Linked DNA regions of Drosophila melanogaster. The protein of the gene in region 2 interacts with the protein of the main gene of each other region in a pairwise test. Each region holds a gene or a part of one and is shown on either strand. Other genes may lie near its edges. The genes, in order: CG11980, Nplp2 and gom.

Region 1 (3,571 bases), on a different chromosome or scaffold from region 2:
GTTCCACATCGGCCCACGGATGTTCCTCGGGCTCACAGGCCTGCAGACGGACATCCTTACTGTTCGCGATCGCCTGATGTTCCGCAAGAATCTGTACGAGACACGCGAAAACCGTGAAATGTGTCCCAAGCCCTTCTCGGCCATGATGTCCAGCTTTCTGTACGAGCACCGCTTTGGCCCGTACTTCATTGAGCCGGTCGTTGCTGGCCTGGATCCCAAGACCATGGAGCCTTTTATCTGCAACATGGACCTGATCGGCTGCCCCAACGCACCCGATGACTTCGTTGTGGCCGGCACCTGTGCGGAGCAATTGTATGGCATGTGCGAAACCCTGTGGAAACCCGATCTCGAGCCGGACCAGCTGTTTGAGGTCATCGCCCAGTCCATTGTGAACGCATTCGATCGCGACGCCATGAGCGGTTGGGGTGCCACCGTCTACATTATCGAGAAGGACAAGATCACGGAGCGCACACTGAAGACCCGCATGGACTAGATGATGTTAGAGGTTCCCTTGGTGATTTTGTATACATTAACCGAAATACACATACAAATAAAATTTGTTTAGGTACAACATGTGCGTATTTCTTTTCCGTATAACGTAATAACACCAGAATTAAATGCGTAATAACACCAGAATTAAATGCGATCTAATTATTGTTTTTCAATTTCAAAAGCATAACTTTAAGTCGTATTATATTATTGCTCTTCTGTCCACTCGGTGGATTTCTTGGCCAACAACATGGCAGCCTCCTCGGTTTTTGCCCCGCCAATAAATCCTGTGTGATGGATGAATTCGAGATCTTTGATGCTCGCCTTATCGCATAGTTCATCGTCCATCAGTCCGCGCCAAGGAGTGGGCAGAAATTTGCGGCCCAGATAGCTGCCAGGCGTCACTGGAACTCCGGCCACTCGCCAACTATTGCCGCTGTTGAAGACGACCAGCTTGGGCACACCCTCCACCTTGTACTCCTTTTCAAGATCGAACAGATGAGACTTCCAGGGGCAGAAATTCTTCAACACAAGAATCTCGCCGGTGGGATGGACGTTCTTGGCATTTTTAAGAGCCTCTCGTACGTGATCCCGGGCTGGAATCCAGGAACATGATACCTCCACAACGTTGTCCACAAACTCACGACCTGCAGTATCCATCGCCTGTCTGAATCGGTCTTCGATGTCTACGCCAGTTTCCTGCCAGGACGGATTCAGTTTGGCAATGCGGGCAGATAGATGAGTGGAGATTTTGTATATAGGCTCAACGCCCTCGAACATGGGCACTCCATTATCAATTGCGTCCAGTTCGTTGATAAAATTCCTATAGATCTGAATAAAGGCCGTTTGCAGGTTTTCCGGTGAGAGTTTAATTCCCTTTTCGCGCTGCAGGATGCTCTGTATAACACGCTCGCCATAGTGACAGTAGACCAGTCCAGCACTGCTTAGCCTGGAGGGGATTACATTGGATTATACGGGTTCATTTACGCTAACACCACGAATTCACCTGACAACGTTGTAGTCCTCGCTTACATCTGGGCGAACGGAACTAAAAGTCTCCTTGAAGGTTATTTGGTGGTGATCGTACAATTTCTTGGCATGATCATAAACGCCGCCCACGTCGACAATTATATCGCACTTCTCCTTCAAAGCCTTGTTGTCCCGACTGCGGAAAATCTCTGCGTTTTTGTACTCATCCAATTGCTTGAGCATAAAACATGCGACCAACTCGTCGCAGTGAAAAGTGCCGCTGTGTGTGCCGATCCAAAGGGGAGAGCGTTTTGGTGGGGTAACTCCAGTCATTATAGATAGTTTTCCTGCTTCAAAACATTCAGTTAAGCCCAGATATTTCAATTAATTTCGGATTGTAACCAAAAACTTACGAAAACGAGGTAACAATCGGAACATTAGCGACGGTCTTTTCCTCCATTTAATATCGATATCACAAGTTTTTATAACTTGATATGGCAACACGCGTTCAGCTTAAATATATAAAAACTGCAGCGTGGCAGCACTGGTAACGGTTTTTTAAGCCGCAAACAATTAACAACATTTTAATTAAATACGTTTTATAGGCAAGTTGGATTTTAATATAATAATATATGAAAATTCAGTGAAATCTGTACCAAGCACTGCCAGCTTATCAAAGAACTTCGCCCCACACCAATCGATTGCATGGGCGTTTGTGCTTATCCAATAAATTAGCATTCGCTTGCTAATTTGTAAAACAACAACTCATAGGGACCACATCAATTTTTTGGCTGCTTAGTAGAGAATTATTGGCTGAAAATTTTAGTAAGCCTTTGGAACTCAAGACCCACGAATGGATACATTGGATAAAATTGACTAACCACAAGGATTTACCAAAATGGCAGAAGCCCGTTTGCGCCGAAATATAAGTCGGCAAGTACCCGCAATGTAAGAGTGATTAGTTTAAAAGATCATTAAAAACGCGCGGGAATCGGAAAGCTTAAAAATACATTACTGACCCACTGCGTGGCATTGCTTATATAATCGTTATAAGTTATTTAAATTTTACATTTCCGTTAATTGTGCGCTGAAACTGACGAACAATAATTAAAACCGAAATAGTAGGCAAACGGTCTATGTATGCGTTTAAAACATAAATCACCGCCGACAACAATGATCACGTGTATGAGCGCGAACAAAACGTTAAATTCAAATTGTTACACAGGCATTTTTCCCGTTGTCAGCATCCCATGACCTTCGAAAAGATGCTAAGCTCGGAAATTGAGTGGAAAAGGAAGTGCCTGTGTAAACGAAACTCGTTTGGAAAACACACTTCACTATCTCCAATTGGAATGCGAAATTCAGCTCGAATTAAAGTTCAATTTGCCCCGACGTCTACGTCACGCGGCCAAATCAAAAATTTCACAGGGCTTATTGTGGTACTAATCGATGCAGACACGCTTATCAAAATCTGGACTCGTTTCGACCTCAGCTTCTTGCAATTAAGCTTATCATACAGATTACGTTAGAAGTTCATTGCCACTGAGCGAAAAATGCGCTTGTTTTTACAACTACCCAAGTAATTATATTTTCACGCCCGTGAGCAAATAAGCAAATTCCACAGGTAAATACCAAACTGAAACTGAAAGGTATATTGTACCACATGTCGTTCTTAAATGAATGAAAGTGAATAGTAAGTTGAATATACAAATATTTAAATCATTTTTGGCTTATATAGCACTTACAGGGTATCATTGGATCGGTGAACTGGCACCCTCGTTACGTATATGCCCATTTAACTTATATTAGCACCGTCTTTTTTCAAATAAATCGCTTAATACAACAAATATGTGAGTACGCGTCAAAAAAACTTTAAGGGCAATTAACTGGAGCACTTAAAATAGAGATTACTAAATCGGGAGGTGATGATTTTGTATTTAAAATTAAAAATTCGACACTATCATTAAATTGCATTACTATCGTTGTAGTGTTCTCTGGTGTGCAACATCACAATTGTAGATTTATTTACTCGAGCCTAAGTGAACTTAAGTAGCCTTACTGTATTTATAGAGGCGAGATCAAAGCCGCCTGACGTTATATTCATGTGTGTTGT
Region 2 (3,381 bases):
CATTTAAAAGTTGCTGTCATACTTATCAGAAAATAAGAAGAAACTTATCTATCTGTTGGCTACAGTAAAAAGTATTTTTACCACTGCTCATATTTCGGGCTAATTACCGAATTTCATGCAAAAATCAAACAGTTTTATATTTAAAACATATGTTCTCTTTCCACCGCAGAATGTCGCAGATTAAGACCCATCGGCAGCTCATGGAGAATGTCCGCCGCAACTACGCCCATGTGCTGGAACTGCAGACGATTCTGGAGCTGCTCCGTCTGCGAACCTACCCCACGTTGGGTCCACCCCTGCCCCAATGTCATCCGCCAGTGCCGGAGCATATCCTCAGTTCGGTGCCCTAGGAGAACTTCAACCCGACCAACCAACAGACCAGACCGTGGGGCTAAGTTTTAGCCACTTGGCGAAATTGCAATTAAATATTTTCATTCCGCCAAATGAAAATTTATTAGTGGTTCTGGGTATCTGGTCTGGGTCTTCTGACTCGTGCTGCCACTTAATTGGGTTTGTTTGTGTCTGGGGAAAATTACGAAAACGAGGCATAAAGTCGTGCACTTTGAGCTCTGTTTGCTGTTTAGTTCGTTGCTCCCGAAACAAACTCTACTCTTGACTAACTACTTTTGGGGCTTAAGTTGGGGGAAACCCTTCAGCATCGCACTTCACATTTATTGTTTTAATGAATTGCCCTTGAAGACACGAGAGTTGATCCGAGAGATCAAACTGTTGCAATATAATACAAATAAAAAACCCCGATTGTCACTTTATATGGCTATCATATCGTGATTACGCTAAAAATACGGCAATACACGACTATTATTCTAATTATTATTACCTCTTTTAACCATTACGTAATCTTCGGATTTACTCCGAGCAGTAAGCCCTTATCTATTCAGCTTTCAAAACCAGAGAACTGTAATTTCTTTACTAAATATGCGAATTCATCATTTAAATTACTTTAACCCCTGGAGGTGAGCTACAGAATACACTATTTTTGTTAGTTCAGTTTTTTTACCGCAGCATCTATGTTGATAATAGTGTTTCGTTATTTCTATTCGCCTTTTAAGATGAGTTCACCATGCTAAATTTACGTTTTTGATATCCAAAGTCTACAAGAGTAGCTCTGTCTAAATATTCTGAAAGCGTTGTTTGGTTTGCCCAAGTCCAATCGCATTTGCATTTCTCCAACTTAGCTTCGCGTTGGAAATTTCCGGGTTGCTTCGTCAAATTTTCTAATACTCGGTATTATAAATATTTATTTTGCGCAATTACATAATTTCGAATGTAGGGCGCCTTATCAAAAGCATTTAAAAAAAACCTTATCACGTGCCACGTGCTTTGCATTGATAGCCGGTAAAATGGAAATTATAGTATAAAATAAAATTGACTATATACCTGTTACTCGTACAGAAAGTCGACTATAGCGTTATCTCTTCACTTTAACTATATATAAATATATATTTAACTAAAAAAAATGCTTACAGAAATATTAAAATATTTGGTCTTTAATGAAAAAAACAAATAAAAGTAGATAAACAATTCCGATTGCTGGATCGAAAGGCCTTCAGAACAGCTTAGCTATGCGAGCCATTGAAATGATAAGCACACATTGTAGGATATGTATATTCCAAATTTATACAGTGGTAATTCCATAATTATTTCTTGTTGAAATTCAAATTAAAAATATTCTTAAATTATATATTTAAATCTTTGTTACGGGCCAAGTGCTAGAATACTGGATTCGAGGATAGGGCAATACCATTAAGTCCTACAGAGATTAACTATTTGGCGGTTGCATAAAGCGGTTATCTTCTGTGACTAAACAAATGTAGACATTCTTGAGCCAAGCAAACGCTCAGCTGTTATGCGAAGCAATCTATTCCAGCATGCTACGGAAAAAAGTACGCTTATCACGGGTCAGCTCCGTAGCTCTAAACGCTCGGCCTTCCTAGTGCCGATAAGCCGGTCTCAAATTCGGCCGGCTGCGGCGCAAAACGAGGTGTCGTTATGAGTAGTTTGGCAGAGGTTCAATCAGTACTCAAGTCATCGTTCTCTAGTTCAGAGTTCCGCAGCAGTTACAAAAAACCAACACAAAAATGGCCAAGCTCGCAATTTGCATCCTCGTGTTCGCCCTGTTCGCCGTAAGTAAAATGCTCAAAGTCCTGGCACACAGATGCAGGACCTATTTTCAGAGATAAACTACAATGTGGCACTTTGATTTCAGTTGGCTCTGTCCGCCCGCGTCCCCCGTGAGGAATCCAATCCTGCCCAAGAATTTCTTACCAAGGCCCAGGGTGATTTCAACGAATTCATTGAAAAGTTGAAGGCGTTGGACGCGAAGAAGGTTGAGGTAATTATAAAGCAATCATATCAAAAATAAAGCGAGTTCTAAGTAATTAATAGTCATTTTTCGTGGAGACGCTTAAAACTCATTCTATCCACTACATACGTATTTTCCATAAAGTATTTACGAATTTCTAACTAACAACTTTTCTCTCTGTGTAGGGTCTCTTCAAGGATGGATTAAATACCGTGCAGGAGGGTCTGCAAAAACTTAACGAAACATTTCTTCAGGCACCAGCCGCATCCACCTAAGACGTTGTTGGATGGCCATATATCATTACATTGAAAACGACTCCAATAAATGTTTTAACTTTAACTTTAGTTGTTACATACATGAAAACTAAAAAATGAAATTAAAACGTTAATTGTTTTTAGCACAAAAACATATATTTGCCTATTACTTTAAAAAATTTTTCCATTCCACTTTCTAGAATAGCTATTTTATTACCTTAAAATTGGTAAAATTGAGATGTTTAGATTGAAAGATGATTTTTTTATTTATATTTCTTTTATTCTGAGAAAATATGCTTCCACGCATGAATTTGACTTGGTTAGGATAAAATTATTATAATTATGCCAATTTTTATTAGTACGGCCACCGAAAATGGTTAATTGCACTTCCTACAAGCTAAGTTATGGAACTTTTCTATACCGTTTTCACTGTGTTATTAAAGATTTTAGATGCTGAAGAGTGCTGATCTCGCTCTTCTTCGAAGAAAATTGCAGAAAATCAAAAATTATTGCCATGATTTGAGTTTCGTAAGAACAACTGGCTTTGAAACGGTAGCACGCGTGAAATATTTGTCAGCTATTTTGCACACCTGTTTGGCGCAGCCAACTCGGGGAATGGAGGACGAAATGTGAGGGCTTTCGAAACCATGAATAATGTATTGGCATTTGTACGGCATCGCATCTCGGGGAATCCCCTCCGATCGCCCAATCTAACTTCATCGCCGCGCACGATTGCATAATACCAAAGTGGATTTTTGCTTCTTCCAAGGGATTTCGTATCGAGCTTTGGGCCAAAAATGTGGG
Region 3 (3,689 bases), on a different chromosome or scaffold from region 2:
CAGATACAAATGCAGATACATCGCTGGGGAAACGCTTTATATCTATCTATCTATCGGTAGCGAATTTTCATTAAATAGATTAGGGGGCTGCCAAACCAAGCCGACGCGAATCGGAGAAAGAACCTTACTTTATTGCGACGAACAACAAGTGGTCGTTGTTATGCGAACATTGGAACGCTCTTTGACGCGTAATGGAAGCCACAATTGAATTCACTCTATGTGTATGCTATCTACGAGATACAATTTTGCTGCTTTTGATTACATGCAATGAGCCATTTCCTCTACAGCCAACAGAGTGCCCGACTGACTCTAAATGCATACAACATACGTATGTATGTATGTACATGGACGGTCTTCGGGCCATCCAGCATTTTGTTATTGCACCTCATTTTGGCTGAAACAGAACGCTGGCTTAATTGCACTAGAAATGCCAGCATGTGGCAAGTTAAGTAGTCTATAAAGTGGCAGAATCCAAATATGTAATTAGATTCTGCCAGGGATCTGGGCTGGGCATGATTAAAACTTGAGTGCCTCAAGTCTAGTTTAGTTAAGAAAACTATAGCGTCTATGGGGTAAACAGTAGAATAGATTAAAAAATCTCCAAAGATTCCTACCTATATATGGCATCAATAAAAAAAATGCGAATTATCTAATGCAGATCTCAGGCCAACAGCAACGAATTTTGATTTTTTATTGAACAGTATATCCAGTGTTTTTGGGGGCTTTATTCGCAGGGTGTTGATGTTTGTATTTGCCCGATCAATGAATTTTCCAAGCTTTTGTGTTGTTACTGCTGGCAAAGTAAATTAAAGTGCAGTATAAGTGCATACTAGCCGGCCTTTCTGGCCTCCTTGTCGGCCTTCTCCTTTTCCTTTTGCTTCTCCTTCTCAGCCTTTTCACGTTCCTTGCGCGCCTTTTCGCGGGCTTTCTCGCGCTCCGCCTCCTCCTTCTCGAGCTGCGCCTCCTTCTCCTTTCGCTTCTTTTCGCGCTCCTTGTCCCTTTCGGCCTTGACCTTGGCCTTCTCCTTCCGAATCTTCTCGCGCTCCTTCTCCTGCTCCTCGAGCCGCTTCAGTTCGTCCTTCTCCCACAGCTCGAAGGCCTCGCGCTCGGCGGCCAGGCGCTGTAGTTCATCCAACTCGGCGTCTGTGATGCCGCCATCCATGTCGCGTTGCATCAAATCCACCTCCCTCTCCATGGCCTCTTTGGCACGGCGTCGACGTATGCCCAGCTCCCTGGCCTCCACTGCGTCCTGATGGCGCTCCTCACGCGCTTCCTTCTCCTCCCGTCGGCGCTCCTCTTCGATCTCAAATTCCTCCATCTCATCCTCGTTGTAGGGATACTCGGGAATGGTCCAATTTAGACAGAGGACACCTGAGATTAAATGGTGCAATTGCTATACGATATAAGTGGCTAATCCTACCTGACGACAAGGCAAAGCCCAATGTTCCCCCTGCTGCCAGGATACCGGAGACAAGGATAAGGTTATAGCGGCTGTTCTTGGCTGACCAGGCTTTCATAAAGTCGCCTTCCGGCTTTGGGCAATCACTGAGCACCGCGTGCTGACCACCGCTGGCAAAGTAGCCCGGCTTCCGCTTCATATTCTTGTCGCCTCCAGGACATTTGGGTGGCGGCTTGGTGGACGGGGGTGGCGGTGGAGTGGCCTTGACCGCCTTAGCTGACCCAGGAGGCGTGGCCTTAGCGGCCATTCGCTGAGAAACCGTATTATGAATCAACATCTGGCCAAAGCGCACTGGGGATTCAGGAAGGTTTTATTCTACTTTGAAGCGAAAAACTTCTGGACATAATTCTTTCACTCACATCCCCTCTGGAGACGCTCTTTGGTAGCTATCAAAAATCGGGACATGGTACTTGCTCTTCACTTCCCTTCTCTGTGGGAAGAGACCTTTGATTTTCTTAGCCAAGTGTTTGCCTAGCAAAATATAAAATTTTTTTCGCGTCACAAACTTAAAAATCTCAATTTGATGTCAATATCAAATGTTTCTGAATTGAACCACTTTTCTACGAGTGTGTTTCATAGATTCGTAAAAAATACGATTCTACATCTGCATAAGAAATTGTACGGTCTCTCGGGTGGCACAATTATATAGAAGACCATCCATGGAGGAAATTTAGAATATTTCCCAGGTATTGCCAGATCTCCAAATCAGTTAACCCGAGTTCCCGAAAAAATGAGTAAATGCAGTGAACCAGTTTTCAGCAGACTGCACTTGGTTGGTGGTGATAACAAGCCAGATACACAAGCGTACAACTAGAAAATCGTGTACGATAATTTACACAACGGTTTTCGTGTAAGACACAAAAGCTCGGTCGATAAGAACAAGATACATAACCCCGGTGTAGACTAGACTACGGTATAGAGGTGAAAGGGGGGGGAATAGCCAGAACTGGGAACCCACACCCCATTCCCATTAGCATGTTTCGGAAAGAGAATTTCACGGAAATTTATGATGCCCAAAAGAGAACACACCTCGGTGAAGGTGTCACGTGCGCTGTCAAAAATCGGTTGGTCCGAGACGAATGCATAATGCGGAGTGGACAACAGTCAGCCAGACTTGAAATCGAAAAGTGGCTTGGCGATAAAGAAGTTAAGGCTAATCGCAGAATGCGGTCAACAAACTGGTTCTTTCGATCTTTCGAACCAACAAGTGGGTGGACGTCGCTGAGTGGGTGAAATGCAATTGGAACCATGAAAATAAATTGTTTATTCAATAACCAATCATACAAATCAACGACGGAATCGCAAGTGACCGGGACCCCGCTTGTAGAGTCGCTTCCTTCTCTTGTTATCCCGACGAATGGCCACTATCGCAATGAAGACGAATCCCAGATAGAAAACGGCGGCTACAAAGCACCGTGTGGACACGTCCTGGTAGGCCTCGTCCGCCTGCTCCTTGAAGGCCTCCTGACTGGGGAAGTGGTGGGGCAAGGGCAGGGACTCCAGGAGCATCAGTGACTGGACGTAGAAGAAGATACCCAGCAGATTCAGCATCAAGAAGCCCCAGGCGCTCATGAACAGGCAGAACAGACAGCACTTGCGACCACAAAACATTTTCAAGCTCGATTCAATTCTATGCGAACTTTGTGCGACAGTGTAGTCGAGTGTTGCTCTGACCGCAACAGGTGCCAAGTTTAAGCCGACTTCGAAAGCGAAACCGAATCCGAAATCGAAATCGGAATGTATTGGACCACATACTATTCATCCATCTATCTACATACGCTCGTACACAAGTACAACCTTGTGCGATTTCAGCGGCATTAGATCAGAGTGGTCGGAATATGGAGTTCACGTACCCGTGCCTCTCGCTTTCGGCGGCGTTGCGATTGGGTTTGTTCAACTCGAAATGGCTTAGATTCGGATTTGATCTTAGCCAATGATGGACAACTGACAGATATATCATTTGCACACATACATATGAGTATGATATAGAAGCAGCTCAACTTATTAACACTTGAAAAGCACGTCAAAAAAACGATGTATACAATATACTTCAGAACATCAAGCTTATGCAGAACGAAGACCTGCAATATATTTGATATTTCAAATCAGTGGCTGCATTTAGTTCTGCGTATTTATATATCAGAAGTGATTTTTAGAGAACTGAATGTAGGCCATGCCAACCAAGTAGCTGATTCATTAAAGGGCAGCCTCTGATTTGAATTCCCCTTGT

What was found.
Region 1: the proteins of Nplp2 (region 2) and CG11980 interact in a two-hybrid assay, tested with the Drosophila melanogaster proteins (one large-scale study listed by BioGRID).
Region 3: the proteins of Nplp2 (region 2) and gom interact in a two-hybrid assay, tested with the Drosophila melanogaster proteins (one large-scale study listed by BioGRID).

The regions. Positions count from the first base shown.
Region 1 is NT_033777.3:9,002,376-9,005,946, reverse strand, and holds CG11980 (uncharacterized protein), read right to left. Parts: upstream 1,931-3,571; 5' UTR 1,897-1,930; coding exon 1,872-1,896; intron 1,852-1,871; exon of another isoform or gene 1,809-1,851; coding exon 1,496-1,808; intron 1,439-1,495; coding exon 697-1,438; 3' UTR 616-696; downstream 1-615. Other genes in the region: Prosbeta3 (proteasome beta3 subunit), read left to right, coding at 1-493; CG31100 (uncharacterized protein), read left to right, coding at 2,357-2,406.
Region 2 is NT_037436.4:13,354,500-13,357,880, forward strand, and holds Nplp2 (Neuropeptide-like precursor 2), read left to right. Parts: upstream 1-1,876; 5' UTR 1,877-2,099; coding exon 2,100-2,144; intron 2,145-2,227; coding exon 2,228-2,353; intron 2,354-2,508; coding exon 2,509-2,598; coding exon of another isoform or gene 2,599-2,697; 3' UTR 2,698-2,724; downstream 2,725-3,381. Other genes in the region: CG17687 (uncharacterized protein), read left to right, coding at 170-350.
Region 3 is NT_033778.4:22,138,323-22,142,011, reverse strand, and holds gom (gomdanji), read right to left. Parts: upstream 2,078-3,689; 5' UTR 1,865-2,077; coding exon 1,819-1,864; intron 1,751-1,818; coding exon 1,421-1,750; intron 1,372-1,420; coding exon 830-1,371; 3' UTR 648-829; downstream 1-647. Other genes in the region: CG11269 (uncharacterized protein), read right to left, coding at 2,747-3,070.